Mus musculus: one gene and its partners. The protein of the gene in region 4 interacts with the protein of the main gene of each other region in a biochemical or structural test. Links are inferred from orthologs where the notes say so. Each region holds a gene or a part of one and is shown on either strand. Other genes may lie near its edges.

Evidence for each region.
Region 1: the proteins of Pcna (region 4) and Poll form a complex in vitro, tested with the Homo sapiens proteins (3 studies listed by BioGRID). The link is inferred for Mus musculus from reciprocal best matches to the Homo sapiens genes PCNA and POLL.
Region 2: the proteins of Pcna (region 4) and Parp1 form a complex in vitro, tested with the Homo sapiens proteins (3 studies listed by BioGRID). The link is inferred for Mus musculus from reciprocal best matches to the Homo sapiens genes PCNA and PARP1.
Region 3: the proteins of Pcna (region 4) and Kmt5a form a complex in vitro, tested with the Homo sapiens proteins (4 studies listed by BioGRID, with this or other methods). The link is inferred for Mus musculus from reciprocal best matches to the Homo sapiens genes PCNA and KMT5A.
Region 5: the proteins of Pcna (region 4) and Chaf1a form a complex in vitro, tested with the Homo sapiens proteins (4 studies listed by BioGRID and IntAct). The link is inferred for Mus musculus from reciprocal best matches to the Homo sapiens genes PCNA and CHAF1A.
Region 6: of the proteins of Pcna (region 4) and Rad18, one has a biochemical effect on the other in vitro, tested with the Homo sapiens proteins (21 studies listed by BioGRID, with this or other methods). The link is inferred for Mus musculus from reciprocal best matches to the Homo sapiens genes PCNA and RAD18.
Region 7: the proteins of Pcna (region 4) and Pold1 form a complex in vitro, tested with the Homo sapiens proteins (4 studies listed by BioGRID, with this or other methods). The link is inferred for Mus musculus from reciprocal best matches to the Homo sapiens genes PCNA and POLD1.

What each region holds. Positions count from the first base shown.
Region 1 is NC_000085.6:45,557,749-45,562,058, reverse strand, and holds the start of Poll (DNA polymerase lambda), read left to right. Parts: upstream 1-1,494; 5' UTR 1,495-1,573; intron 1,574-1,694; exon of another isoform or gene 1,695-1,862; intron 1,863-2,342; 5' UTR 2,343-2,367; coding exon 2,368-2,479; intron 2,480-3,139; coding exon 3,140-3,434; intron 3,435-3,643; coding exon 3,644-3,803; intron 3,804-4,026; coding exon 4,027-4,310. Other genes in the region: protein DPCD, read right to left, coding at 1,352-1,415.
Region 2 is NC_000067.6:180,567,418-180,571,697, reverse strand, and holds the start of Parp1 (poly [ADP-ribose] polymerase 1), read right to left. Parts: upstream 2,808-4,280; 5' UTR 2,665-2,807; coding exon 2,545-2,664; intron 1-2,544. UniProt on the Homo sapiens protein: Poly-ADP-ribosyltransferase that mediates poly-ADP-ribosylation of proteins and plays a key role in DNA repair.
Region 3 is NC_000071.6:124,448,499-124,451,998, forward strand, and holds part of Kmt5a (N-lysine methyltransferase KMT5A), read left to right. Parts: intron 1-2,162; coding exon 2,163-2,382; intron 2,383-2,787; coding exon 2,788-2,875; intron 2,876-3,500. UniProt on the Homo sapiens protein: Protein-lysine N-methyltransferase that monomethylates both histones and non-histone proteins. Specifically monomethylates 'Lys-20' of histone H4 (H4K20me1).
Region 4 is NC_000068.7:132,250,360-132,254,468, reverse strand, and holds the start of Pcna (proliferating cell nuclear antigen), read left to right. Parts: upstream 1-1,288; 5' UTR 1,289-1,432; coding exon 1,433-1,653; intron 1,654-2,468; coding exon 2,469-2,566; intron 2,567-2,710; coding exon 2,711-2,778; intron 2,779-3,030; coding exon 3,031-3,225; intron 3,226-4,109. UniProt on the Homo sapiens protein: Auxiliary protein of DNA polymerase delta and epsilon, is involved in the control of eukaryotic DNA replication by increasing the polymerase's processibility during elongation of the leading strand.
Region 5 is NC_000083.6:56,039,222-56,043,287, reverse strand, and holds the start of Chaf1a (chromatin assembly factor 1 subunit A), read right to left. Parts: upstream 2,873-4,066; 5' UTR 2,777-2,872; coding exon 2,737-2,776; intron 1-2,736. UniProt on the Homo sapiens protein: Acts as a component of the histone chaperone complex chromatin assembly factor 1 (CAF-1), which assembles histone octamers onto DNA during replication and repair.
Region 6 is NC_000072.6:112,679,650-112,683,232, forward strand, and holds part of Rad18 (E3 ubiquitin-protein ligase RAD18), read right to left. Parts: intron 2,591-3,583; exon of another isoform or gene 2,384-2,590; intron 2,028-2,383; coding exon 1,690-2,027; intron 368-1,689; coding exon 268-367; intron 1-267. UniProt on the Homo sapiens protein: E3 ubiquitin-protein ligase involved in postreplication repair of UV-damaged DNA. Postreplication repair functions in gap-filling of a daughter strand on replication of damaged DNA.
Region 7 is NC_000073.6:44,538,792-44,542,374, forward strand, and holds part of Pold1 (DNA polymerase delta catalytic subunit), read right to left. Parts: intron 3,460-3,583; coding exon 3,313-3,459; intron 3,234-3,312; coding exon 3,108-3,233; intron 3,032-3,107; coding exon 2,863-3,031; intron 2,781-2,862; coding exon 2,699-2,780; intron 2,614-2,698; coding exon 2,484-2,613; intron 2,220-2,483; coding exon 2,053-2,219; intron 1,839-2,052; coding exon 1,734-1,838; intron 712-1,733; coding exon 571-711; intron 374-570; coding exon 263-373; intron 174-262; coding exon 1-173. UniProt on the Homo sapiens protein: As the catalytic component of the trimeric (Pol-delta3 complex) and tetrameric DNA polymerase delta complexes (Pol-delta4 complex), plays a crucial role in high fidelity genome replication, including in lagging strand synthesis, and repair.

The DNA of each region.
Region 1 (4,310 bases), on a different chromosome or scaffold from region 4:
TTGACCTCCTGAGTGCAGAGATGGCAGGCATGGGGCTATCCTTGCCTTTCTAAGATCCCAACCTCTATTTAATACAAGCTGCTATTTCCTTACATATTTTTTTCTTGATAATTTTATGATCCCAGGAAAGCATAAGCCATGGTTGTCGTCTTCTTGTTTGTTTTAACTTTGCTATTGTCTGTTTTTTCTATCTGCTCTAGCACAGAATTTGGCACATGGCAATGGGTTCCCTAAATGCTGTAGGGTAGGAGCAAATGAAACCTGATTTTAATTTCTGTAAACTTCAGGCACCTGCCTGTGGATGTTTTAAAGCTAGCTGTTAGCTTTAAAGCCTCAGGAATTCAGACCTAAGGCACCCTGGCTGCCAGGTGGGTGGGTCTGTGAAAGACCTCAGGGGCACAGGGCACTTAAACTGGCCACTTGCAGGATGAGGAAAAGCTGACATCTCAAGCTCCTGTTCTTAGTCATTTAGACCTTAGCCCTTGCTCTATCTCCCCTAAAGATCAGGGGGCAATTTAAAATCCACATCATAAACAAAACATAGTTAGAAAACAAGGACCTGGGCTGGTGAGATGGCTCAACAGGTAAGAGCACCCGACTGCTCTTCTGAAGGTCCTGAGTTCAAATCCCGGCAACCACATGGTGGCTCACAACCATCCGTAACGAGATCTGACTCCCTCTTCTGGTGTGTCTGAAGACAGCTACAGTGTACTTACATATAATAAAAAAATAAATAAATCTTTAAAATAAAAAAAAGAAAGAAAAGAAAAAGAAAACAAGGACCTTAGAAACAACACTGGTAGCCCACCCACTTCATTTTATAATTGAAGAAAATGGGGTCCTAACAACTGAAGAGGTGAATCGATGTTAGAGTTGATCTAAAACCCTGGTGTCTCCTTTCTATGCCATTGGGGCTGCTGTCATCAATAGGACCCCCAAATTGAGCTGCATGGATCCCAGATGACGAATTATACCTGATTATCTGCAAAACCTGGGTTTGGTCTAAAACCTTCCTGGGTTTCAGTTTCCTCGTCAGTCAAATGGGGTGCAGAATTAGCCTCTTGGTACAGCCCTGAGGGACGATGATGAATGTAAAATGAATTATTGGGAAATACCAACAAAACTCTGAGCGGGGAGAGATGATATAAGGAACTCTTGAGGTGGGTGACCAAAGACTTGGGTTCCACTCGGGTCATCTCCCTGGGCCGGTTTCCTCTGCAAAAGCAGGAAGCTGGCATGGCTGTAGGCTGCTGCGACAGGTCCAGCTCTGCCCACCCAGGCTGAGGCCCTCCCTGGGGGAGCGGGCGCATAGAGCCCGCCCTGGGGGGAAGGACGAGGGGTCTCGAGTTACCATCCTGCAGCAGTGCCGTCTTCTCGGCCGACCGCAAAACCTCCAACCAGCTAGTCACCGCCATCTTCCCTCCGCCCAGGAACGCGCCGGGCCACTGCCATGGCAACTACCCGACCGATGATCACTTCCGGATGACCCGGGAAGTATTCTGGGAACTGATTTTTTTTTTTTTTTTTCCCCTCTACCCCTTCCTCCCCCAATCCGTTTTCATTGGCTCCCATGGTGAGTTTATTTCTCTTTGCCGGGAGATTCTAACCTACTTTGGACCGGTCCTGGGGCCGGGTGGGGTGGGGATGCTCCCAGAACTTTTAGGGATCCAGCACCAACTCTCTTCTGGCCCCAGCTGGGAGTCCCTGGTTCACACCAGCTGCTCACAGTGGATGTGGCACGTCTGCTTCGGTCTTGCCCACCTCCAGCTGTGAGGGCTCCCTACATCTGCTGCGGCTGCACTCCACCTCCCTGCAGCTGCGGGGCTCAGACCCGCGCGATGGGGCTGCTGCGACAGGGACAGGTGCGCAGCGTGCCCACAACTTTCCCTGAAGCCTCACTCCCCAGGTTTTCTTCTGCGAATGCACATTGAGGCTAGAGAAAGATGATGCGAGGTTTATGTGACATGTCCCTTAGACTCCAATTCGTTGGGGAGATGAAGACTCTCCTAAAGATGTAGTCCGGTTCCCAAACCCGTCATCATTTTGGAAAAGTCTCTTGGAAGGGGACGCAGAGGCTGACTCTGCGCTATATTCCTCCCCCCACCCCCACCCCATGTTGTTTCCTTTCGATCCACACCTCCCCTACACCCACAAGAATCCCAACCTTTCCCTGGCTTCCCTCAGTACGACTAGGGTTGAAAGGCTGGTATGTGTGTGTGGCACTCGGATTAAATCACTTAAGTTTAACTGGGGTTTCCGAGACCTCTGAGAAAGGGACCTGTTACCCCTAAACCCCACCTCTATGCCAAATTATTAAGGGCTGGCTCTCAATCCTTTAACAGAAAGGCCAGGATCCAGCGCCCTTCAATGGACCCTCAGGGCATCGTGAAGGCCTTTCCCAAGCGGAAGAAAAGTCATGCAGATCTATCTTCAAAAGCACTTGCAAAGATTCCCAAAAGGGAGGTGGGAGAAGCTAGAGGTGAGCCGGTCCACCCTCACACACTGGAACGTTCAGCCTTCTTGTTTTCAGCTAGAGTCAGATTAACAGAAGTGACCTAACCTGTGGCCAAGATCAGGTTGGCCTCAAACTCGAAAAGCAAAACAAAACAACAAAAAAGGAAGTTTGCTGAAAAAAACAAAACAAAACAAAAGCAAAAACAAAAACAAAAAACCCCTGGGGGGTATCGCTAGCAAGCAAGCCTTTAGCCTTTAATCCCAGCACTTGGGAAGCAGAGGCAGGCAGATTTCTGAGTTCGAGGCCAGCCTGGTCTACAGAGTGAGTTCCAGAACAGCCAGGGCTACACAGAGAAACCCTGTCTTGAAACTAACCACCCCCCCCCAAAAAAAGGAAGTTTGTTGTACGTTTGCGGTAGAATTCTTTGAAGGTATTTTGTTCTCTGGATGGCAGGAAAAGGAAGGGAGGTGGCTTCGAACAGTTCATTATAGCTCTGACCTACAACTGTAATCCCAGCTCTTAGAGGTCAAGGCAGGAGAATCAGAAACTCAAGGTTATCCTCTGCTACATAGTCAGTTTGAGGCCAGCCTGGGCTACATGAGACCCTATCTCAAATAATAGTGCAATAAAATTAATAATAATAATAATAGCTATGGTGATACCACTTGAATATCCTCTCCACAGGATGGCTGAGCTCCCTGAGAGCCCACATTATGCCCGCTGGCATTGGACGTGCCCGGGCTGAACTCTTTGAGAAGCAGATTATCCACCATGGCGGCCAGGTGTGCTCTGCCCAGGCCCCAGGAGTCACTCACATTGTGGTGGATGAAGACATGGACTATGAGCGGGCTCTCCGGCTCCTCAGGTTGCCCCAGCTACCCCCTGGTGCCCAGCTGGTGAAGTCCACCTGGCTGAGCTTGTGCCTGCAGGAGGGAAGGCTGACAGACACGGAAGGATTCAGCCTTCCCATGCCCAAGAGGTTGGCAGCTCTTAGCCTTTCTCAGGTGTTTGTTGATGATGTTTGAGTTTCCATCTTGAGTTATTGAAAAAAAAAACACTCGTACTTTTTAAATTGGACATATTTGGAAACCAAGGTTTCTGTATAGAGAAAGATTGGGGTGGGGGTGGGGGACAGAGACAGGTAAGAATTTGATACCCTAACTCTCTGTGACCTCCCCTGCCCTCTAGGTCCTTGGATGAACCACAGCCCAGCAAGTCAGGCCAAGATGCTTCTGCTCCTGGCACCCAGCGGGATTTACCCAGGACCACCCTTTCTCTTTCCCCTCCTCACACCAGAGCTGTATCTCCTCCCCCAACGGCAGAAAAGCCATCAAGAACCCAAGCCCAGGTGAGGAGCCTCCCAGCCCAGGGTGCTGATCACAGAAATGGAAGGACCTGGAGGTTAGACAGAAAATTCTAGGTCTCTCTCAATTATGCACCTGTCCATCTCTTCCCAACATTTTTCAGTTCTGCATTCAACTAGTTATGTCTGCCCCAGGCTGGGGTCTTTTCCTTGAGTCAAAGCAGGAGACGCCTCCCCACCAGACAGCGCTCTCTTCTTCTATTTGCAGCTCAGCTCAGAGGATGAAACCAGCGATGGAGAAGGGCCCCAGGTTAGCTCAGCAGATCTGCAAGCCTTGATCACTGGGCACTACCCCACTCCCCCTGAGGAAGATGGTGGGCCTGACCCAGCACCAGAAGCTCTGGATAAATGGGTCTGTGCACAGCCCTCGAGCCAGAAGGCAACTAACTACAATCTGCACATCACAGAGAAGCTGGAAGTGCTGGCTAAAGCCTACAGTGTCCAGGGAGACAAGTGGAGGGCCCTGGGCTATGCAAAGGCCATCAATGCTCT
Region 2 (4,280 bases), on a different chromosome or scaffold from region 4:
AAAGCCCTGACCATGCCAAGGCCTGGGGAGGACTGGTGGGAATGGCCGACATCCTAAGTTGTTTGTCTCTATCTAGGAGGCGTGAAATAGGCCAGGTACAGAATCCAGGACTTAGACCCAGCCTCCAACAACCACAAGGTTCACCATTTCCTTCCAGGTAAGGCAGGCTGAGAGCCCTGCCTGCAGGAAGAAGACGGCCCTGCTCAGAGAATGCGCAAATCCTCAGTTCCTTCAGGGTCATCCCTCTGCCTCCCAGTTAGGCAGCCTCACCCAGGGCTCGGAAATATCAGCTTATCGGATGCTCAGAGAACAGTCCTCTCATACAAATGTAAAAGAAGGTATTTAAATTCAAGCTCTACAACGACGGCCCTCCCAAGCTCTGGAGTAAAAGCCCAACTTTAAACTCAGATCTAAACTCCCAAGCTCCTCTAAGGAAGGAAGAGCACCGCTGTCACTCACAATAATAGTTTCTCTCACAGTCAAAAAAAAAAAAAAACAAAAAACCAGGAGGAGGGCCTTGAAGGTTAAGTTATTTAGGTCAGCCTCAGCCTACCCAGAATCCTCTTTTTCCTCTCTTCCTAGGCAGTATTGGGGGTCATCTTTCACAGAGCGGCTATTCTCTGGCTAGTACAGATGCCTAATAAAATCTGTAAAGTATGGAAGGGTCACTTCAAAGGCCAGGTGTAGTAGCACACGACTTTAATCTCATCACTGGGGAGGAAGAGGCGGGTGGATCTCTTTGAGTTCAAGGCCAGCAGGATGACAGTAAGCCAGGTCCCAAAAACCAAACAAAACCATTTGAAAGGCTGGGTGTGGCAGTAGAGGCAGGCCAGTAATTCTCAGCACTCCAGGATGGAGGCCAGAGCATCACAGACATCAGCCCTGAAATCTGGTCTCAAAACCAATCAACCTAATTCTGGGCATACCATTACCTTATACTTTACTAATATCCCTCTACTAGCTGTTACAATTGAGGAATCCCCAATCATAAAATAATATGAAAATATAAGCCGAAGACTATTTTGCTTTCCTGCTATATTCAAGACCGAGGGAATAATGGGTTTAATCTACAAACTGGCAAGGATGTAAATTTGCTTTCTCTTAAGCCCAGAGAGCTCTATTTATCTTCTCACAGGGAGGAGGGAACTGTGGGGTAAAGTTCAAAGACCTCAGTGGGAAATGGGGCTTTCAACTGTCCTTCAAATTCTAGCTATCTCCATCTTCCTGTCCCACTTCTGTGAATAAAAACTCTTAATCAAGCTCCCACACTTGACTGGGACATCTTGGGCTTCTCCTCCCCAGGGCATTCTGCCTAGCACTCAGTTCCATCAGATACAAGGCTTATCAATCCTTCCCATACCCCTTAACCTAGCAGGAGGAGCCCAGGACGGGTTCCCCATCCCGTCATAAATGCAAGCAACAAAGACGTCCCTAGCAGTTCCCGACATTTTTGTCACCAATGATAATTATAGACACTAACACCGTGCCTAGCTGCTTCTTAATAAATATGTATAGAATGTATGAGAACTGTGTCAAGCAAGAATGCTGAGCTAGGCAGTCTCTCCGAGGGCACCAAGATGACAGCTTCAGTTCTTCCCATAAGGAGAAATAATAGAAGCAGTGTGGTATCTTGGTACCCACTGGGTGAATGTCTTTTCCCCCTTCCCTCCCCCCCTTAAGAACTGAAGCCCCATTGAGGGCTAGCCTGCCTCTTCTAAAACACATTACTGCAGCTGGACAGCAAGGGAAATCAATTGCCTCGACCATTAGCAGCGTGAGCTTGGGTAACTGAGTGTTTGGGGGAGGTGGGAACAGGGCAGGTGAGAACCACACTAGCAAAGACGGGAAGGAATCTGCAAAACCAGAAGCCTAGGAGGCAGGAGCCACTGGAACGCCAGGACCCGTCATCCCACCACCTCCTGACCATCTCGGAAGCGTCAGTGAAGAGACCAGATAGCTGCAGAAAGCGCCGAGACCTCGGGAAGTTTGGAGAAAATGTTATTTCCAAGTAGAAATCAGGCCCAAAGCGAATGCACTGTAAAGAAATGGCACTGCTTTGCATAACTAAAATAGAAATACCGAGAGTGAGCGGATGTTGAAAGGATCATCAAAAATAGGCTTAAGGGGAAAAAAAAATCTTCTGTATTCATGGAGGACAATAATCTTCCGGGACAAGATAGGCCCAAATCAGAGCAGCTTTAAAGACCGCGCGCACACCCTCCACCCCGACGCCGAGAAGGCAGTGAAATAAACAAAAACTCTGCGACCATCCAGACCCAGCGAAGAGGCAGGCCCCTTGTCTTTACAAAGCCAGAGGCACTTACGCCAGATGCTCTTACTTCCCGGGCTTTTCTTGCAGGGTAAGCGCAATGTCCCGGAAGGGGTCGGCCCAATGGGCCTCAAGGACCTCCGCGGCAGCGCCGCGGGTCTTTCCCGCCCTTCTCTCCCGGTCCGGCTGAGCCGCAGGGCGGAGTGAGGCGGCCCCGAGCCCACACAGCCGCCCAGGCCGCGTCGCCCTGCGCCTCCGGCCCGGCCCCGTCGCACCTGCACCATGATGGCCATGCGGAGGGAGTCCTTGGGAATACTCTCGCTGCATTTCTTGCAAGAGGCGCGCCCGCTCTTCGCGTACTCCACTCGATAAAGCCTCTCCGAGGCCTCCGCCATCCTCCTTCTCGTGCTGCAGCGGCAGCCCGACGCCGCCGCTGGTGCGCTCCGCTAACGTGTCGGTTTCCCCCGCAAGCGTGCAGAGCCGCCTCCGCTCAGGATAGATTACTGATGCCTAGCGGCGGGACCGCCCCCCCAAGCTCGCGCGCGGAGGGCGGGGCCTCAGCTCATAGGGCGGGGCTTCAGCACGTGTCCTTGGGAGGTTGGGTCCCAGCGCGACTGCGCCTGTGCACGCTGGTCTCTGCCTCTGGGAAGGGGCCAGGGCGGGGACCCGGGGAATCTGACAGGCGCCACCCCTTTTGTCGGTTTGTCCCAGAAAGGCTTTTTGTTCGCCCAAATAATTCCACCTCACCCACTTGCATTTTTTTCTAGGTATGTCTAGAGCGAACCCTGCTGACCCTAAGTGTAGTATTCTGCTTTGCAGCCTCCACATTGCTGACACAGAAAACCAACTAAAGCCTGATTTTTCATTCTTAGTAAACTTAAATGCATAACTATAAATTCCAAGAGAATGAGCAGAACCCGTGACAGTTGGTAGTAGTTACAACAGATGTCGTGTGTTCTCATCCCCCATCTCCGCGCTAACACAGGACAGGGTGTCTCAGTGTTGCCCTGGCTGCCCTGAAACTTGTTCTGTAGATCAGGCTGGCCTTGAACTCACAGGGATCCATGTGCCTTTGCCTCCTGAGTGCTTGGGATTAAGGGCGTGTGACACCATCTCCGGCAACAGATATTTTCCTGGGGAGATCCCAAAATATTTTAGGTTATCGACAATTAAAGTTATAGGTATTGTTAAACTTGCTACTGTTAGATCTTGTTATTTAATGTAGCACTACAATCTTTAACATTATTGGTCTTTTTTTTTTTTTAATAATTATATGAGCGTGATGCAGGGTCTCACTATAAAGCCCTGGCTGGCCATGAAGATGAAGTCGGCTTCAAACTCACAGAGATCCACTTGCCTGTGTCCTAAAGTGTGGGTAAACTGCATGTCTGGCAGCAAACTGGCTGGTGAGCTGTGGCCTACTTGTCTATGAATCATTCCTGATTGAGCAGGTATGAACTGGCTCTAGGTATCTGCTTTGTGCTTCCTCTGTTGCTGCTCTTTTTCTAACCCTGCCCTCCCTTGTTGAGACCCTCTCGTGGCAGAGAGAGACAGGACACATGGCTGTTCCCTAACCTAGTCCAGGGAGTGGGGTCCTTCCACTTTGCCTTGTAACTGATCCCGTGGGTAACCACCCCAGCAAATTCTCCTTTGCTGCAGAGGGTCTAAACCAGGCAGGCTAGCCTATCTCAGACTTAAAAAACAGAAAATCTCCCAGACCAAATTACAATGTGTGAATTGCAGGCATGTTTTGCCTGTATAAATATTTATATATCATGTGTGTTTGGTGTTTGCTGAGTCCAGAAGACGTTTTCATATCTCCTGACTGGAGGAAGTTACAGATGGTTGTGAGCTGCCATGCAGGAACTGGGACTCGAACCCAAGTCCTCTGAAAGAGTAACCAGTACTTTTAACCTCTGAGCCATCTCTCCATACTCTCCCCCTTGCAATAAACAAACAAACAAACAAAAAAAAAAAAAACAGGCCGGACGTGGTGGCCTTTAATCCCAGC
Region 3 (3,500 bases), on a different chromosome or scaffold from region 4:
CACTTGGAAGGAGGAGGCTCTGGCAAGCTGCAGCTCTTGTGAGTCCTGGGTGACACATCAGTCAGTTGAGAGGAGTCCCGTCTCATCCGTTGGGCTGTTTGGGGTGTAGAAGGGCTTTGAGATGTTGCCACTGCATCACCACATCTGTCTACATCCCTTGTGTCTACAGCTATCAGGAGGTTGCTTACCTGCCGCCCAGGCTTGGCCATAGCCACCTTGCATCCCTTCCAAAATCGGGCAGAGTGAATATTGTCCATACAATGCCGGTGGGGGCTTACTGATCCCTGGTGCTGTTAAATGGCAGTGATTAGGATTTGGGGTCACATGTACGTTGGAATGTCTGAGAAAGGCCAACATCTTGCCTAATTGTACCTTGGCACAGACATCTCAAGAGTTATCAACAGACCCATCATATCCATAGGGTTAGACCTGCCAGCCTGCCTAGAAGGGAAGGGTGGGGGGGAGTTGGGCTGATGGGACAGACTTGGAGGTTTTGTTTTCATTACATTTACTTATTGTGTATGTGTGCTTGTGTGTGTGTGTGTGGGAGGGGGGATTTGTGTGCTGCTATGTACATGTGGGCTTCAGAGGAAAACTTAGAGGAGTCGGTTTCCTCCTGTGAAGGTCCTGAGAAATCAGATTTGGGGAATTAGGCTTGGTGGCAGAGCTTTTACCTGCCACCCATCTTGTGTTCTCGATGGCACCCCCTTTGCCCAGCTTTTCCTGCTTTGTTTGCTGAGCAGGAATCGAAGTTTATTTGCTTATTTTGTAGAATCTGGGATAGAACCCAGAGACTGGGCATCTAGGCAGGCACTCTACCATTGAGCTAACTCCTATCTTCCCTCCTATCCCCACCCAAGACAACCTCTCCTGTAGCCCAGGCTAGCCTCAAACTCCCCCATACATCTGAGAATGGCCTTTAACTTGTTCTCTGTTTCCACCTCCCTAGTGTGCTGGGATTATAGGCCTGTGCTACCGTGCCAGGTTTTACTCAAGCTCTGTCCCCAGCTCCAAAGTGTGCACTTGGGTGATATTTTAGTGTGTCTGCTGTCACACAACTGCCACCTCTTATGTCCAGACCATTTTTTGTCTCCCTACAAAGAACATACTCATTGGTCCTCACTTTGCACTCCACCCCCACAGCTCTAGGCAGCCCTGAAACTCCTCTCTGCGTCTGCAGCCTTGCCCGTTGTGGACATTTCATGCAAATGAAGTCATAGGCTATGTAGCCTTTTGTGTTTGGCCTTTTACTCAGCGTGTACTCAGCGTGTTTGTCAGAGTCAGTCCCTGTTGTTCATAGTGTGTGTCAATGCTTTGTACCTTTTTATGGCTGAACCATAATCATCATTCCCAGTGTGGACAGACCGCATTTTAACTGTTTGTACACCGGGAGGGCTGTCGGGAATGTTTGCTCTCGGGCTAATGTGCATAAGCTACCACGTTTCATGTACAGAGTTTTTGTGTAGACATGTGTTTTTAATCCTGAGTAGATGTCAGAATGTGGAGTTGCTGGGTCACATGATAATTCTATGTTTAACTTTGTAAGGAAACCTAGAAACTCTTCTAAAATTGGTGTGCCATCTATCTCTGGGTAGTATATTAGTTATTTACTTTAAAAAGTAAATCATTAAATCCGTTTTTTAAAAATAGCACAGTTGACCAGCGGCACCAAATTTGCTGCTGTTATCAGCGAGGCTATTTGTTGTGTGCCTCATGACAGGATGCCTGCCTTCTGCCCAGGTGCCATCTGGAGAATCTCTGGGAGCCCGGGACGCCAACCTTTTTAGAAAGGGGGCTTGTTTGGCCAAGATTCTGCAGTGAAGCATGCCAGGCAGTGAGTGGGGAAGAGGTTGGGCTTTGTCCCCTCACTCCACCCACCAGTGCTCACTAGCTCTTGCTTTGGGACAGAGCGTCTTTTCTCGGGTGTGCAGGCCAGTGTCTGGAAGCCTCCAGCTTTGTTAGCACTTCGGCTTTCTCCCACACCCACATACAGAGGGCCAGGCCCTATCTCCAGGTACTTCTGCCTGATTGTCCCTTGTGGACACTGGCACAGTAGGCTCCAGCACCTTCCTGACCCTCACAGAGTGCTCCTACCCTAGCCTATCTGAGTGCTGACCAGTGCGTGGAGTGAATAAATCTATTTTCCACCTGTCCCGCTGCAGAGAAAAGGAACACCGGGAACGTTATACGAAGCGCTGTGAAGTCAGATGAACAGAAGAGCAAAGACACCAGGAGAGGTCCCCTGGCGCCTTTTCCAAACCAAAAATCCGAAGCAGCAGAACCTCCAAAAACTCCACCCCCATCATGTGATTCTACCAATGTAGCAGTCGCTAAGCAAGCCCTGAAAAAGTCCCTCAAGGGCAAACAGGCCCCTCGGAAAAAGTAAGTAGCCTGGAGTGAAGCCCTCTCCTAACACCACTTGGTTCCTGGGGCCTGGCTCAGGTGTGTACTGTGGTTGTGTAGTCTGCTGCTAGGCCTCTTCTCTTCTGAGTTACACGGTCTGGTTTTTCCCTCGTGTGTGTGTGTGTGGTGTGTGTGTGTGTGTGTGTGTGTGTGTGTGTAAGACAGAGAGTCAGAGTCCAGAGGTTAGGCCTCCCTCCCTATCTCTTCCCCCCCATCCCCCAGGAGTGAGCAGCTGTCTGGGACCCGCCCAGGTAGATAAGCAGACATGCACCTAGGTCCCAGTACACAGAAATATTTGAGGAACACGTTTATAGGGAGTTACCTCCTGGGTCGGAGCAGGGCAGCGGGCCTCATGTTTATTTTCTCCCCTCCCCTCTTAACCAGGTCTCAAGGGAAAACCCAGCAGAATAGAAAACTCACAGATTTCTACCCTGTGCGGAGGAGTTCCCGGAAGAGCAAAGCTGAGCTGCAGGTAAGGTCTGATCCGCTGCAGCGGGGAGAGGCAAGCAGCCAGGGTGGGGGTGGGGGTGGGGTGTTTAGCGTGTGTAGGGAAGCCTGGGTGAGATCGTCCTCTGCTTGCTCTACCTTCCTGGTGAGGCAGGAGGCATTCTTAAGACCCTGGTACCTTGTACTTGATGCCGTAGAACAATCAGACTGGCTTTTCCACGGTGTTTTGGCAGCGCGTTTGGAGCCTAGAACTGTGGGGAAAGCTGCCTGTTGTGTCTTCAGCCTGTTTCTAAAGAACAGTAGCTTAGAAGTGCTTACTGATTGCTGGTGGACTGCACTGTTGTGTCTGTAAAATGGCCCTGTAAAGTCCAGGGATGGAGACACCTATAATCCTGGTACTCAGGACGGAGTTGAGAGAATGGACAGAAGTTCTGACAGAGTGGTTAGGTCTGAACACCAAGTTCCAGTCCAGACTGGGCTCCATAGCAAGACCCTGCCTCATAAAGGAAAAGATCCGGTAGTGAGTTGTTATGAAAATAAAGGAAGTAGATTCACACCGATGCGGTGGTGAATCCAGCACTCAGGAGATTGAGGCCAGATCTCCATTTTGAGATCACCCTTGGCTACATAAAAAAACTCTGTCTGAAAGC
Region 4 (4,109 bases):
AATCCCCAAGCCAGGAAAAGAAAAATCAAACAAGACAAACTAAAGGGAAATGCAGTGAATAAGGAAAGAATAAATGAACATGAAATGGAATTAATATGCTCCTATGTAAACTTTTTCCCCTTTGGTCAGTCTTGGTAGATAGTCCAAGGTGAGTTTAAATCTAGGCCCTCCGACCTCAGCCTTCCCATGTGCTGGAATTATAATCACTAATCACTCTCACCAGCTAAAACGGTCCTTTTAACTTTCTGAAATTGTATATACCTTATTAGTGAAAAGCAAACAAACAAAAAACCCTTACACACATAAATAAAACATCACACACCAAAAGCTTTCTTCACAACTCAACCAACTTCTATACAGTTAGAAGAGGCATTCCAAATGGAAACTATCAAGTTTCACATTAAAGTATTACACTTTCATTATCAAATATATTTTACCTACCACCAAAACCAAAAGAAAAAAACATGAGAAATTGAAAAACTCTATATCCTTTTGTAAATGATGTTAATCTACCTGCAGTCAGTTCTTCCCCATCCTCATAATCAATAGGAAAAACAAAAAAACAAAAAAACTTTAGTAGAACAAAATGCTGCAGCCCAGGGACATATGAAAGACGCTCCACCTGCAACAGCTAACATTTTCAGGATGGGGCTCAGGCTCGGGTTCATCTTCAGCCTAAAATTAAGATGAAAATACTAGTAATATCTACCTTTAGAAAAATGTAGAGAACCAGACATAAAAGGAAAATAATTACGTGATACATATGGACTTGGTATCTTCTTTGGAGAAGCGTTCACGTTAAGAGGTATTTTTTTAGTCTTTAGAGAGAAAAGTTCAGAGCGACGCACACAGAAAAGTGATATGAAATGGGGGGGGGGGTAGGGGTGTTAAAATATGGTGGCCTCTTTATTACTCGATATTTTGCAGCGTATTTCTTACGTTAGGGAAAACGCTCCGTAGTGTTTAAAATACTCTCCAGCTTCAAGGCAGGCCGCCGCGCACAGCTCGATTTGCCTGTGACTTCCACTTCCGTGGCGCGGAAACTTCCTAAGGATGGAAACTGCAGCCTAAACTCCCACAAACTTGGGCGGTGACGACAGCCTACGCGAACCCCGTGATGCCCCTCGCCTCCCAGGCTCCTACCCCGCAGCCCCGCCTTTGCATACGCGGTGGGGCGGGCCTTGCTCAAACCACGGGTACGATTGGTCCTTGAGGAGAGGTGGGTGGATCAGCGCTGTGGCGTCATGACCTCGCGCAGGGAAAAGGCGCGCGCCTAGGAAGCCGCGGCATTAGACGGTTGCGGGCGCAGAGGGTTGGTAGTTGTCGCTGTAGGCCTTCGCTGCCGCTTCTGCATCGTGAATCGGGGGACCTTGGCAGCCAGACCTCGTTCCTCTTAGAGTAGCTCTCATCTAGTCGCCACAACTCCGCCACCATGTTTGAGGCACGCCTGATCCAGGGCTCCATCCTGAAGAAGGTGCTGGAGGCTCTCAAAGACCTCATCAATGAGGCCTGCTGGGACGTCAGCTCGGGCGGCGTGAACCTGCAGAGCATGGACTCGTCTCACGTCTCCTTGGTACAGCTTACTCTGCGCTCCGAAGGCTTCGACACATACCGCTGCGACCGCAACCTAGCCATGGGCGTGAACCTCACCAGGTGAGCGGGTGGCGGGAGCGGGGCCCCACTCTTCCCGCTTCCGCTCTTGGCGGGGCTGTGACTCTGCACGCTCATTGGCTGGCTTGGCCATCCGCGCTTTCTGATTGGTCTATGGTGTCGGGGGCAGCCCTCACCAAAGCGCGCGGTTCCGAAAAGCCCGCGCTGGCAGTGGCGCCCACTCTGTTTCCGCGCCAAAGCCACAAAGCGGGAGTCCGCGGGAAAATGAGTGCTCCGGAGCTGTGCTCATTAAATGCCTGCAGCTTTGAGTGGCTGGTCTTAGCGCCTAATAAACGAGTCTTAGTGCAAATGTAATGTCGACTTAGAGTGACAATAGACCTTTTCTTGACTTCCAGAGTCTCACTGCGCATCATGGATTTGAGGGGAAATCTGTCAGTTTTAGCTTTTAACTTTGCTACAGCTACCTAGGTTAGTGCCTCCTGTATACGTGTTCAAGGACAGTGTGTGACTTATTTTAGTACAGATACATGGATTAGTGCCACTTGTATACATTTTGAAAGATTTACGAAAAGGCCAGACGTGATGGGGCACATTCTCCAGTACACTAGAAACCAAGGACACCCCGCTCAAAAAGATGCTTTCTCGAATGTTGGCTTTTAGTGCATTTTACTAAGTCGGTTTTAAGAATCACATATACCCGGTAATTTGCTTCACCCCTGAGAGAGTTTGGGGTACCCTTAGCCCCTTTAACAGTTCTCCAACCGTGAGTGTGAAATGGTACAACTTGTAATTGCTTTTTAAAATATAGATGTGGATTACATGTTGATAAAGCCTGTCTTTTTTTTTTTCCCCCCTAGCATGTCCAAAATTCTAAAATGTGCTGGTAATGAAGACATCATTACATTAAGGGCTGAAGATAATGCAGACACCTTAGCACTAGTATTCGAAGCACCAAGTAAGTTAAACACCTTTAAAACTCGGTAGTTACGTGTTGTTTCTGTTTCTCAAAACCAAAAAAAAATATTAACAATATTGTAAAATTTCCATCATAGATAGGACCGTGTGGTGTGCTTTGGTAACATTTTCCTTCTTTTGGTAGATCAAGAGAAAGTTTCAGACTATGAAATGAAGTTAATGGACTTAGATGTGGAGCAACTTGGAATCCCAGTGAGTTACCTTGTTTCTGATTGTGTGTTACCCTGCTGTGATACCAGCTGATGCGTGTTCTGAGTGGAGTGGTGGTATTGGGGATGAATGGCACACTGCCATTTCACTAAACCACAGCAGTCTAAAGTTGATTGAGTTTTAAAGAAACCAGAAGTCTTGCATTCTGAGTTCTGGTTAAGATGCTAAATCTTGAGAACATGAAGCTGAGCCTTCCCCCTTTTCTAGACTGACCTTTAACTTGTGGGTTTACAGGAACAGGAGTACAGCTGTGTAATAAAGATGCCGTCGGGTGAATTTGCACGTATATGCCGAGACCTTAGCCACATTGGAGATGCTGTTGTGATATCCTGTGCAAAGAATGGGGTGAAGTTTTCTGCAAGTGGAGAGCTTGGCAATGGGAACATTAAGTTGTCACAAACAAGTAATGTGGATAAAGAAGAGGAGGCGGTGAGTAGTAAGGGGGCGTCCAGTTAGGTGTCTGAAGCAGGGATGGAGCCTCGGCTTTTGTTTTTATTTATTCATTCATTTTGAGATGGAGTCTTGAGTAGACCAAGCTATCTTAGAGCTCAGAGACGACTCCATAAGCTTTTACAGGTAGCATTTGGAAAGCTAAGTGTACAGCCTTTTGCTTCCTGGAAATACTCTTGGCAAATAAGTGAGGGTTGGCAAGTGAGCAAAAGAAAATGGTTGGGGGTGTATGTAGCTTTATGTGTTGCAGGTTCAAGAGTATTTGCAGTCCCAAGGGAAATAAGAAAGACTTCACAAAATGTGGAAAGAGTTGTATTAAATGCTCTTGACAGTTACATCCATAGAGAAAGCTGGGCATGATGTCTCAAACCCACAACTGTAGTACTCAAAGCTACAGCAGGAAGATTCTCAGCTTAAAGTCAACCTGGCAGAAAATCTAGCTCAAAAAGAATGAGGAAGAAATTGGGAAGGCAAAGGAAGATGTTCTCCGAGTCCTCCTCATTCAAGTAGAACATACTAGGCCTCTTTAATTTCTAAGTATCCCTGAATCGAGGCTTTTTCTCAGGAATCCAATGTATATTTCATGGCTACACTTTTTTTTTTCTTTTTTAAGTTTTGCTAGCTAGCCTGAGCATCAGAATTACACACAGAAGTCTGAACTAAATAGGATTTTTAGGGTTTAGTATAGTGAAATTCAGAGTGCTTACTGCAAGTATTTAAGGTAAATATAAGGTGTTACTTGGCCTCTGCATGAATTTAAAGTAAATGAAAGTGTAAGAATTCGAACATAGATAAACACACAACCCAAGAACTAGTTCTTAACCTTAATCTGCTGAATTATTTCTACTTCCATATCAACTTCA
Region 5 (4,066 bases), on a different chromosome or scaffold from region 4:
TTTGCTGTGTGTGCACCTGCCAGTCCACATTGCCACATGGAGTGTCACAGAACATATCAACTTGCAGGAGTCAGTCCTGTTGGTCTACTTGTAGGTTCTAATGGCAGAGCCCAAGTGGTCAGACTTAACAGCAAGTACCCTGACCCTTATGCCCCATTCTGAGCCCCCAGAGGCAGTCTTCATGGCTGGGGAAGGTTTGGGGATGCTACTCACTTTCAGTTACTATACAGGCACTCCCTATAAACAATCTACAATGAACAAGTCAGTCCCACAACAAAAAATTATTTGGCTCAAAATGTCAACACTGAGCAACACTACCCTAGACTCAGTCCCTCCTGAGTCCCTCACTCAGAAACTTGCATTATGGCCCTTCTTCTAGGTCAGTTAAGGCTCAACTGTCCAAAAATGTCCCAAAAGTCAAGTGAGGGCTGACAAGATGGTTCAGTGAGTAGGGAGGGGGACTTTCCAAGCCTCCTGACTCTAAAGCTCAATCCTCAGGACCCACATGGGGGAAGGGAAGAACTGATTCACACAGACACAGTGAGTGTGACTGGACAAATGGATCAGAAACTAAAAGCACTTGCTGTTCTGATCCCAGATCCAACAGTTCATAACCAACCACCGAAAGTCTAGCACCAAGGGATCCAGTGCCCTCTCTGGCTTCCATGGGCACCTAGCTCATGTGCATAGACATACACAGACACATAACAAGAAATAAATCTTTAAGTAAACAAAACCAATTTTTTTAAGTGAAGGTATCCTACTCTTAAATAGATGAAATGAATAAATTTCGTTGCAGAATCTGTACTCATGTCAAGACACAATAAAGAACCTGGGGTTGGGCTCAATGGGTAGCATGCTGACCTAACATGTAGGAGTGTCTAAGTTCCATCCTAGCCTTGCATAAACTAGGGCATGTTAACACTTGGAGTTAGAGGCTTGCCTGGGCTACATGGGGACCTGGTCTAAAACTAATAACTACAAAAAAGAAACAAATTAAAGACCTCATGAAAGAGATTATCTCCCACTAAAATGAATTTAAAGTCGCAAGAATAAGTAAGCACATTAAAACCCATGTATATTAGACCATAAATAGAGCCTGTCTTTTTGTTTGTTTTGAGACTCTCTACATAGTCTTGATTGTCTTGAACTTGCTATGTAGATCAGGCCGGCCTCAAACTCAGAGATCCACTTGCATCTGCCTCTGAGTGCTGCTGGGATTAAAGGTGTGTGCCACCACACCCAGATGAGAACCTGCCATAGGTAAATGCCTTGGGTGCATAGAAACTCCATCAGTAATTTGGGGTGAATTCCCATACATTTTGCTAATGTTGCATGCAATTCAGACTTAAGCTTTCCTACAACCTCAGCTATCCAGAGTAGAAACAGCCCAGGCACACCAACTTAGAGACTCGGACCCCCAGAACACTCTCCCTTCTTCTCATTTGAATGGAAGGTAACATCACCTCAATTTTCTATTTTAAAAAAAAAAGCCACCCCCCCCCGAAGGACACTTTTTTCTTTAAAAGTTTTATTCCACTTTAATTAATTTATTGGATACAGGCTTGTGGAATTGATTCTCTTCTTCCCAGGATACAATTCAGGTGGTCAGAGGCCAGATCAACCTGAAATTCATCATCCTCCTGCCTCAGCTTCTAGGATGCTGAACTGCAGGTATGAACTGCTACACCAAACTGGTCTTTATTGCCAGAGCAATAGTGTCGGTTTTAAACGTTCCACCTTGGTTAAATAAAAACAATGCTCCATGAGAGTCCAGGAATTGTACGACTATTAATGCCCACATAAAATTCTCAAGCCAGTCAGAACAACAGCTCCAGCCTTCCTGGAATACCAGGCTGTGAAGGGTGTGTGTGTGTGTGTGTGTGTGTGTGTGTGTGTGTGTGTGTGTGTGTATCTTTGATGATCAGAACTGTAAAAGGGGCCAGAGTTATCCCAGAAGTGGATGGAGATTGAGGATGCGGCTCTCCATCCTGAAATTGGCCATCCCCAATTCCCCTCATCTCCGAGCTTGCAGACTAGTGTAATGTACCCAGAAGGGCTGTCTAGTCAGTGGTGCTCAATTGGAGAAATCTTAGTCTATCAGGACCGACCTCGTCTTTTCCAGCCCCTCAATCGTTCAACACACACTGGGGATACAATTTAGCGGGGAATAGGCACCCCACATTTCGGGAAGCCTACCGCATGCTACAAAGACTCCTAACACGTACCCGACTGGTCCATACCACACTCACAAAGGGCCCCTTTTCGGGACCCAGAAAGGGTTCCTGGCTATGCTTTAACCACCCAAACCGACCTTCCTGGACTAGCCCTGCCCCGCAGAGTTGCTGCTACTCTGGTGTCCAGAGCTCAAGTGAGCACGGGCCTCAATTTCCCCGCCCATTGCAAAGGTCCGAACTGCTCTGGAATTCACAAACGCACTTAATAACTTGTACGACTGACTTTTCTTCTCCTTGCCCTCAGTTTCTCCACTTGCTGCTACAAGATCCAATTGATTTCAAGAGGACACAAGCACTCAGGATCCATCAAATCCAACTCGGGGCCTCGGTTTCCCCATTTACTCCAGCTATTTAGGCGACACAAGATGCCTTCGGGAGCTTGCGAAGCTGACTCTTCCCCCTCCCCGAGGCCTCAGTTTCCTAAGAGCCCTCCCTTCTCCTGGTCTCCGCCCCGAGGCCACTTAGGCTTGGATCCGCTCCTTTAGGCAGTTTCACCCACCCGCGGCTGTCCGCGTCGCGGCCTCCGGCTCCTCCAACATCTCCGCGACGGCGGCGGCGGCGGCGGCGGCGGCGGCGGCGGCGGCGGCTCAGGCTTCAGTCGGGCGGCCAGGCTGCACACTCCGCCTCCCACCGGTGTCACTTCTGCTGCCGCCGCGGCCGCCGCGCTCGTATTTGGCGGGAACCGCGGCAACCACCGCGGCCCGCGCGCCGATTGGAGGAGCTTGCGTCACGTGACACCTCAGCCTCCGGAAAAAGAGGTGCACTCAGTACGTCCTCGCGAGAACTTCGGTTTATGTGCTAGAAAATCCCGCGGGAGGCGGATGAAGGCTCCTTTCCGGCGGTTCAGGAGCTGCTGGGAAGATCTGCATTTCTATTGATCCTAAGAAATGTCAATCTAAAATATCAGCGTTTGCACACCCCCCACACCCCTTTTATTGGCTATATGCGTTCCAGGAGGTGGGAAGGGTACGTTTAGATTAGTAGTGACAACTTGAAATTACCCATTGGAAGAGTAATGGGAATTAAGGTATAATAGTGACGGGTTGAAAGTAGCCATTGTAATTAGAGAATTACTTCCTTTAATTTTATTTCTTGCATTAATTTCTCTTTTAACTATAATTTTTTTTCGAGACAGGGTTTCTCTTTGTAGCCCTGGCTGTCCTGGAACTCACTCTGTAGACCAGGCTGGCCTTGAACTCAGAAATCTGCCTACCTCTGTCTCCCAAGTGCTGGGATTAAAGGCGTGTGCCACCATTGCCCGGATATAAACTCTTTCTAAAAATGTTACAGCTGGGCATTTCATTTTTGAAATGATGAACCACTTTTTAATAAATTAACAATTTGCTTTATTTTAAAATTAGGAATGTTTTTCTATTGTAAAATTATAAATCTTTTCAACCATATATTCCTTCTTTTCGTGTAAATTACTTTGAAGAATATTAAATGAAAAAAATTGAGTCTGGTGCTTCATGCTTTTAATCCTAGTACTTGGGATTTACAAGCAGGTGGATCTCTGAGTTCGAGGACAACCTGATCTACATAGCAAGATCCAAGACAGCCAGTGATACGATGTATAAAAAAATGTTTTTCAGCCGGCCTTTAATCCCAGCACTCTGGAGGCAGAGGCAGGTGGATTTCTGAGTTTGAGGCCAGCCTGGTCTGCAGAGTGAGTTCCAGGACAGCCTGGGCTATACAGAGAAACCCTGTCTCAAAAACAACAACAACAACAAAAGAATAATTGCCTCTGTCTTTTGTTTTTGTTTTTAATTTTAAGACAGAATCTCACTATGTAGCCTTGCTGATCTGGAACCCAATCACTAGTTTCTAAA
Region 6 (3,583 bases), on a different chromosome or scaffold from region 4:
AGTTTAAAAGATAAGTGAATTCTAAGTCACTAGTTTCTCTAAATCATAATGTATCAGAGAGCAAGCGCTAATCTGCTCCTGAAATATGGCAGAGTGTGAGCTGAAGAAGGAAAACAAGAGGATGGAGAGGTAACCAGCACTAAAGGGAAAATCAAACACGGAAGGAAACAGAAGTTCTAGTCACCAGGACAACGGGAGTCCTGGTTTTGATTGACATCTATCAGGCAGAGAAGCATCGTGCAAAGGCAGGTCAGAGGCTGTGCTCACCTTCGCAGGCTCTCCTTCTTCTCTTCACGTGATAAACAACTGTCTAAATGCTTATTGATATGATTTTCTGGAATGCTGACCCCACAAACAGGACAAGACACTGCATTTAAAAGAGAGGGGGGAGACATTATTAGCCATAGAACAGGCAAAAATTACACTGACATCTTTCAGTAATTTAAAGACAGAATCCCAGCTGATATGCTCTTTAAAAGAGCCAGGAGAACAGGCAAACGGGTTACTAGTAACTAGCTGCTTTGCGGGAAGTCCCATGATCAGAACCCTGGGCCTAGAGGCTGCACTTAGGTTTGGGAGTTAGCCAGCTGGAAACAGGGTACTAGGAAACCACAGCGCTGAGTCTCCCCAGGCCGCAGGACATCTCACACAGGACATCTCACACAGGACATCTAACACAGGACAAGCACAGCCTCAGCAACTCTGTAAACAAGTTCCACCTGGGAGTGAAACCAAGGCTTCGCTGGCTCCTTACAATCTGGCTGAACTACTGACCTCCTGGCTCCCGGGCCAGGTCCTCCTTACTAAAGCTGCAGCTTTGTGGAGTTGCAGTGAATGTGGAGGTGCCCACAAAATGCAGTTTCCAAAGAAGGAAGGCTTGTGGCACCAGAGTCCCCAGACTCCCTACTCCTTCTTTTAGTAGCACAGAGAAGTGTATCTATTTTACATGTTATGGTCCATTCTAAGATTTCATTTGGATAAAAAAGAAAAAAATTCTACAAGAGCTGAAAACATGTCCATATGAAATAAAAATATAACAACAAAAACCACAGACGGAGTGATCTCCAGGCTGAGATGTTGATACGCATAATCAAAAACTAAAATAGAAAAAACCTTAAAAATACAAGTACTAATAAGCTAATTTCAATTTTCTAGTAAACACTACTGGCCTTCAACTGTGGGTTGTATGGGTTTGCTAAACAACACACATTCTTAGTAAAAGATAAGGTCCTAAAGACTGGCTGTGAGTTTTCCAGATGACCCTTCATACCATAATCCTGGCTCTGTCACCATTAGGCCACTCTGCACCACTGCAGCATGGAAACACCAGAGCTAGTATATAAACAGAGGAGGAGGGCAGGTTCCAGGCAATCGGTATTTACTGACCAGGTAGCACATCCGGTCAGTTTTCAGCTATTCTGTCAGCCTGAGTATACTGTAGGAAGAGTGAGATAACAAACTGGCTACAGAGACATTCTGGGAGAGCCAGGAAATAAGTCAGGCTCACTGAAGTACATGTCCTATACCAATAAAATAAGCCCTAACCACGGACTGCATCAATGCCTGAGACATGGTGAGGTGAAACCCAGTCCAGTCTTTCTCCCCCTCAAAAGTGCTGCCTATTAATCTCACACCACACAAGTGAGACTTCCTTAAGTATAAAAGTGCACATATAAAAGTGCTGCCTACCTTTAGTATCCAGTTTCATAGTGGATGTAGAGGGAGTCACAGGACCATTAGCATCCGAGAGCCCCAGTACCGGCTTTCCTAGGAGACTTGTCTCTTTAATCTCAGCAGAGGTGCTTAGCTCTTTTTGAGGGCTGAATTTCCTCTCATTTTCTTTTCCCAACAACTCAAATACACAGTCACCAGTTTCTCTAATCAGGAACTTATCCATTAACCTGTTCGCCTGTTTGACAGGGTGTTGGGCGGCGTCAGCATTATGCACTTTAACAACAACCTTCTTTGAGGTGGAAGACACAGGAGATATGGGTGGTGACTCTAAAGCAAACTGCAACAGGTGAGTCCTTGAAACACACAAAACAAACAAATGGGTAAATAAGATGCCAAGTTATGCATAATACACTGAGTCTCCCTAATTAATACTTGGTTCCTCTGAAACACAGAACTTATGTCACAATCACAATCAAACTAAAACGTTTCTTTTAAAATGCAGGAAATCATTATTAAAAGGCAGTGACTAGAACTTAAAGAGTATACTGGGTTCTAGGTGCTGATATGACACTTACTCTACAATGGCTAAGTAAAAGCTGGAGAAAGACATAAAGCAACAGTTAGCACTACGACACAAGCAACCCAAAAGTATGATCCCTGGGAGAAGAGAGACAAATGAAGTGATGCAACCCTGACCCAAGACCTTCACCTGGGAGCACCTTCTCGGATTTGTACGTTGAACTGACATCGAAGCAGAAGTTACCTCCCTGACCAGGGAGAAGAGAGCACAATTCTGGGCAGAGATGATGAGAACGAGAGGGACGGTGTGCTAGGCATGTAGGAGGGAGCCAGGAGAAGGAAACCCTCACCCATCTGCAATCGTCTCCAGGGTATGCAAGGACCAAACGCCACAAGCCTGGCAGGAAACAGACATTGGTAAACAGATGCCAGAGGCAGTGCTAGAAAGATGCTCAGCTTAGCCCAGCCAAAATGGATACCTTCACGGAGACCATGTGGCCTGCCTGAGGTGAGATGTCAGAGGTCGCACCTTAGGAAAGGGGACCGCTCTGTGCACAGAGTGTGTTCACACAAATGTGCACGTGTGCATATGTGTTTCCATCTGTACACCTAAAGCTCGTGTATGCACATGAGTCATAAAGCCTCACTAGAGGTAGGTAACCTGTGGGGACAGAGGTCAGAAAAAGTGAGGAAAACTAACACAGAATCTAGTAATACACTGCACCAACCCTTAACAGAACAAAAGCAAAGAGCCGGTCAGGTAACTGCGTGTCAGAACAAAACGCATTTACTTTCAAAAAGTATAGTTTTTCTTTCCTGCTGCTCTGGGTTTGTCAATGTGCTGCCTCTTTCCTTCCTTCCTTTCCTTTCTTTTTGTATTTTTTTTTCCCCCTGTACAGGGTCTCATATAAAGCCCTGGCAGGCCTAGAACTCACCAATCTGATAAAATGCTACTTAAAAACAAAGCAACAACAATAAAAGCTCACAACTCTTATCAACCATCAGTGATAACAAATGAGCTACCTCCCCCCAAGACTGAACAAAGCACAGATGCCAACCACCACCATCTCTCTCCTAAAACTGCAGAAGACGTCCTGAGTCAATGCAAAGGTAAGACCAAGAACAAGAGCCAGGAACAAAGACTACAAAGATTATAAAAAGAGGAAAAGATTTCATTTTCATAGGAAAAGTTAGGTACACGGTAAGTAAGAAGGCTGGTTCACTATATTACCTTCCCTACTTTCATGTATATTTAAATTTTTTCACAACTTAAAAAAAAAAGAAAAAGATAAAAAAATAAAGGAAAACTAAGCTAAGGATGGCAGCACATGCTGATAACCTCAGCACTCAGCAGGATGAAGCAGAAGATTCTAATTCCAGTGTAATTTCA
Region 7 (3,583 bases), on a different chromosome or scaffold from region 4:
ACGACCTTGACCTGCTGGCCCCGGGTGAGCAGGTACCCAAGGGGTACACCCGTGACACGCGCCATCTCCACATTATTCACCAGCACCATAAGGCGCTCTAGTAGTCGGAGTGGCAGAAAGGCGTCCTTCAGGCAGTACACGGCCAGGCGGCGGCGCGTCTGTTCGTTCCCATTCTGGGGATGGGCATGTGGGGTCAGGGGCTCAGTCAGTCAGGGGCTCAGCCAGGAGGGAGGCGGGGAGGGACTTGGTGGAGTGGCGGCACCTGCAGGTCGGTGATGATGCTGTGCTGAACGTCCTCCTTCTGCTCGCCCAGGAAGTGGAAACTCACAGCGTTGAGCGTGTAGGAGCGGAGCTTGTGTTCCCGAAGCAGCACCTGCGCAGGTTGGGGTGGGGCGGGGCCTCAGAGGTGTGGGGAAGGGTATCTCCACGCAACCTCAAGAGTCGTGGGATGGGGTCTAGAGGGTCTGTGGTACTTAGGTGGGTGGGTCAGGGTGCCGCCTCAGGTGGGTGGAGCTTCTGTTTAAGGCAGCGTGTTGGGGGCTGGGGAGGGCGAGTGGGGTTCCTACATACCTGCAGCATATCCATCTGAACGCGACCCACCATGCTGATCACCTTACTGTCCCGCCGGCCGACCTGCCTTGATTGGAAGGAGGAGTCACGGATGTTGGAGCGGAGACCAGTCACGCGGCCCAGGAAAGGGAAGCGGTCCACCTGAGGAGCATGGGGAGAGCCTTGCTGTGGTGCAGACCTGTCAGCTCAACTCTGAATCTAGCCTTAGGCCCTCAGAACAGGGACAGAGACCAGCCATGGCACTCCTGGGTCTGGAGAAGATGAGCTGCAGGCGGAGACTGCTTGGGTGGGACGAGGTATTGATCAGGGACAGAGTTGAGAGCTATAGCCCCGGGGAGACTGAGAGACTGGGGGCCTGATGGGCTATAGGTAGAGACATGGACTATTGGGGGAGGGCAGAGAAGACAACAGGGGCGGCGCTGGGGTACAGTCTGGCAGAGAGAGGGAGTCTTAGAGGAGAGGGGCTGAGGGTGAGGTGCCCAGGACACAATGGTAGGGTCTCCCTGCAGCCAGGCAGTGAAGTCGGCTCTGCCTACTCATCACCAAATGGGCTACAGCTGCAGAAAGCAGGAAAGTGATACAGTGTATCCTGTTCGGGCAGATTCCCCTCTGTGCATCGCCCAGGACCCCTCTTGTAACAGAGCTTGCCCTAGAAAAAGGACGCAGGGAGACTTGACTGAGGCACAGAAGAAAGGCCCAAGCAGATGCAGCCCAGGAAGGCCATTAGAACCAGGCCCAGGAGGGGAGGGCCTGCCTGCCCTCAGGCTCACTAACACCCAGAGGGTCACCTCTGCAGCCTCCTGCACCGGGTAAGTGTGCAGCTGGCTACAGTGGAAGTGTGAAAAGGCTCACTCTTCCCTTTCCATAGCACCCAGCCTTTGCCGCGCTCCAAAGCATGTACCCCTTTCCTCTTCCATGCCCCCGTTTCCCCTTCCCCCTTGCCAGTGAATTCTAAAGGAGGCCTGGCTATGGAGGCAGAGACAGTGACGCAGTGACGGTGATGGTGTGGAGGGCCGGACTCTCAAGGCGCCCGCCTCCTGTCCACAGCGACGAATTTCCGGCTCCAGCTAAAGTGAGGTAACGCACACCTGGACTCCAGAGCAGCCGGCTGGCCCGGGGCAAGGATGGCCTCGAGGGATGGGAAAAGATCCAGCTTCCCTCACCTTTAGGGCCTGTGCCCGAGAGATGAGGTATGGGAGGTCAAAGTTCTGAATGTTGTAGCCGGTGATCACGTCAGGGTCCATGGCAAGGATGAAGTCGGCCCAGGCCTGTGGAGGGGACGGACACAAAGGCCAACCAGGCTGTCTTTACCTCAGCTACCTTCTCTTCAGAATATCCAAGACAACCTCCGCACTTGCAAAAACGCCGTGGAACTCAGGAAAACACACAGCCCAACCCCGAGGACACGGTGTCGTCCTAGAGAAGGGTCACTGGCATGGCTGGGGACACAGGGCAGGTGGCACCTGAGGAGGGAGGACCCACCTGGAGCAGGTCTTCTTCCCGCTCATAGCTCTGCACTTTGGCACCCAGGATGGGGGCACAGGGCCGCAGCGTGAGTGCCAGACGCAAGAATGGCTCCGGCTCCCCCCAGCGCAGCCCCAGAGAACAGATCTGGATCACGGGGTCACGCTCAGGCTCAGGGAAGATGCCTGCAGAGGGGAAGACACAGGGACCTCATTCCTGCTCGTCCCCTGTCCCGGTCCATCCACGGTCCCCACACCTGCTCATCCACAGCCTCTCAGCTCCAGCCCCTGTTCCAGCCACATGGGTGGGACAGCCCCAGGCCCTGGTGCCTTTGTGCTCAGGGCTCTCTCTGTAGGGAGCACTCCTTCCACCCACTCACCCCTCCACAGGGGCCTGGCACATCACCAATGCCCAGACAGAGAGAAGGAGCCCAGGCTCCCGGGACAAACCTTTTCGGCCAGCACACTCGATGTCGAAGCTAAGCACACGCAGGGGTGCAATGCGCTGCCACTGCCCCTCCGGTGGGTGACTGATCACATCTGACCACAGCACGTCCACCTCCAGCTGACACAGGGTGGCCTGGGGAAAGGTAGCGGGTTGCACAAGGTAGGAGCGACATCGGCACCAGGTCCTGGCTCCCCACCCCGCCCCGGGGTGCTCTTACCTTCTTCTCCGCCCTCCGAACGTACTTTCCAGCTGGCAGCTCCAACCAGTTGCATCCCACAATGTCAGCATCCACCATGAACCTGGAAGAGTGGCGTGTCAGTTGGCAAGGGCCGCCTGAGGGGACTGAGGCGGGAGTAGGGCAAAGGGGAGACAGGACAGCACCGGATCTCAAAGTCCACGTTGGCTTCGTAGGGTGCGAAGCTCGGGGTGCCCAGGCCTGGCACTCGGACACCCTGTTCCAGAAGGCGGCGGGCTGGTGCCATAAGGCGGGGTAGTGCCAGGGTGATGCGGAGAAATGGAGAAGGGCCATGACCGTGGTACCCAAACATGCCTGCGGAGAAAGGAGGTTGGCACACACCTACCAGGGCACCCTACCCCCACCCCCCACCCCCCCAGGCCACACTCACTCTCACGGGAGCATAGCTCTATTGCCAGCACTGCCGGCCCTGAGAGCTCCTTCCCACCGCGCTGGTCCCGGCTGATGGCTGCGTTCAGCTCCTGCTGCAGCTCACTCAGGTGCTCGGCCCCAAAACCTGGTGTAGGAGGCCAGTCAGAAGAGCAAAGGAAATTCTGGAGTCCAGGAACAAGGCCCTCAGGTCAGGGAACACTCACCAGGAGGCGCGGGGGTGTAGAAGTAGGGGGCAAAGCCCTGTATGTGGCAGCAGACGGAGAAGCCTTCATCGGTGACCCCAAAGGCCCTCAGTATGGGCACTGAGTTCCGGGATGGCAGGGGCCCTTCTGGCAGGGGTGGTGCTGAGCCTAGGGGAGGGGTCCGAGAACACCCCTCAGGACCGGAGGCCACACTGAAGGATGTCACTGATGCCTCGGGGCCTCGCCCTTCACAGTCCTTCCTGATGCCCTTCTCCACCCAGAGGCAGAGCCA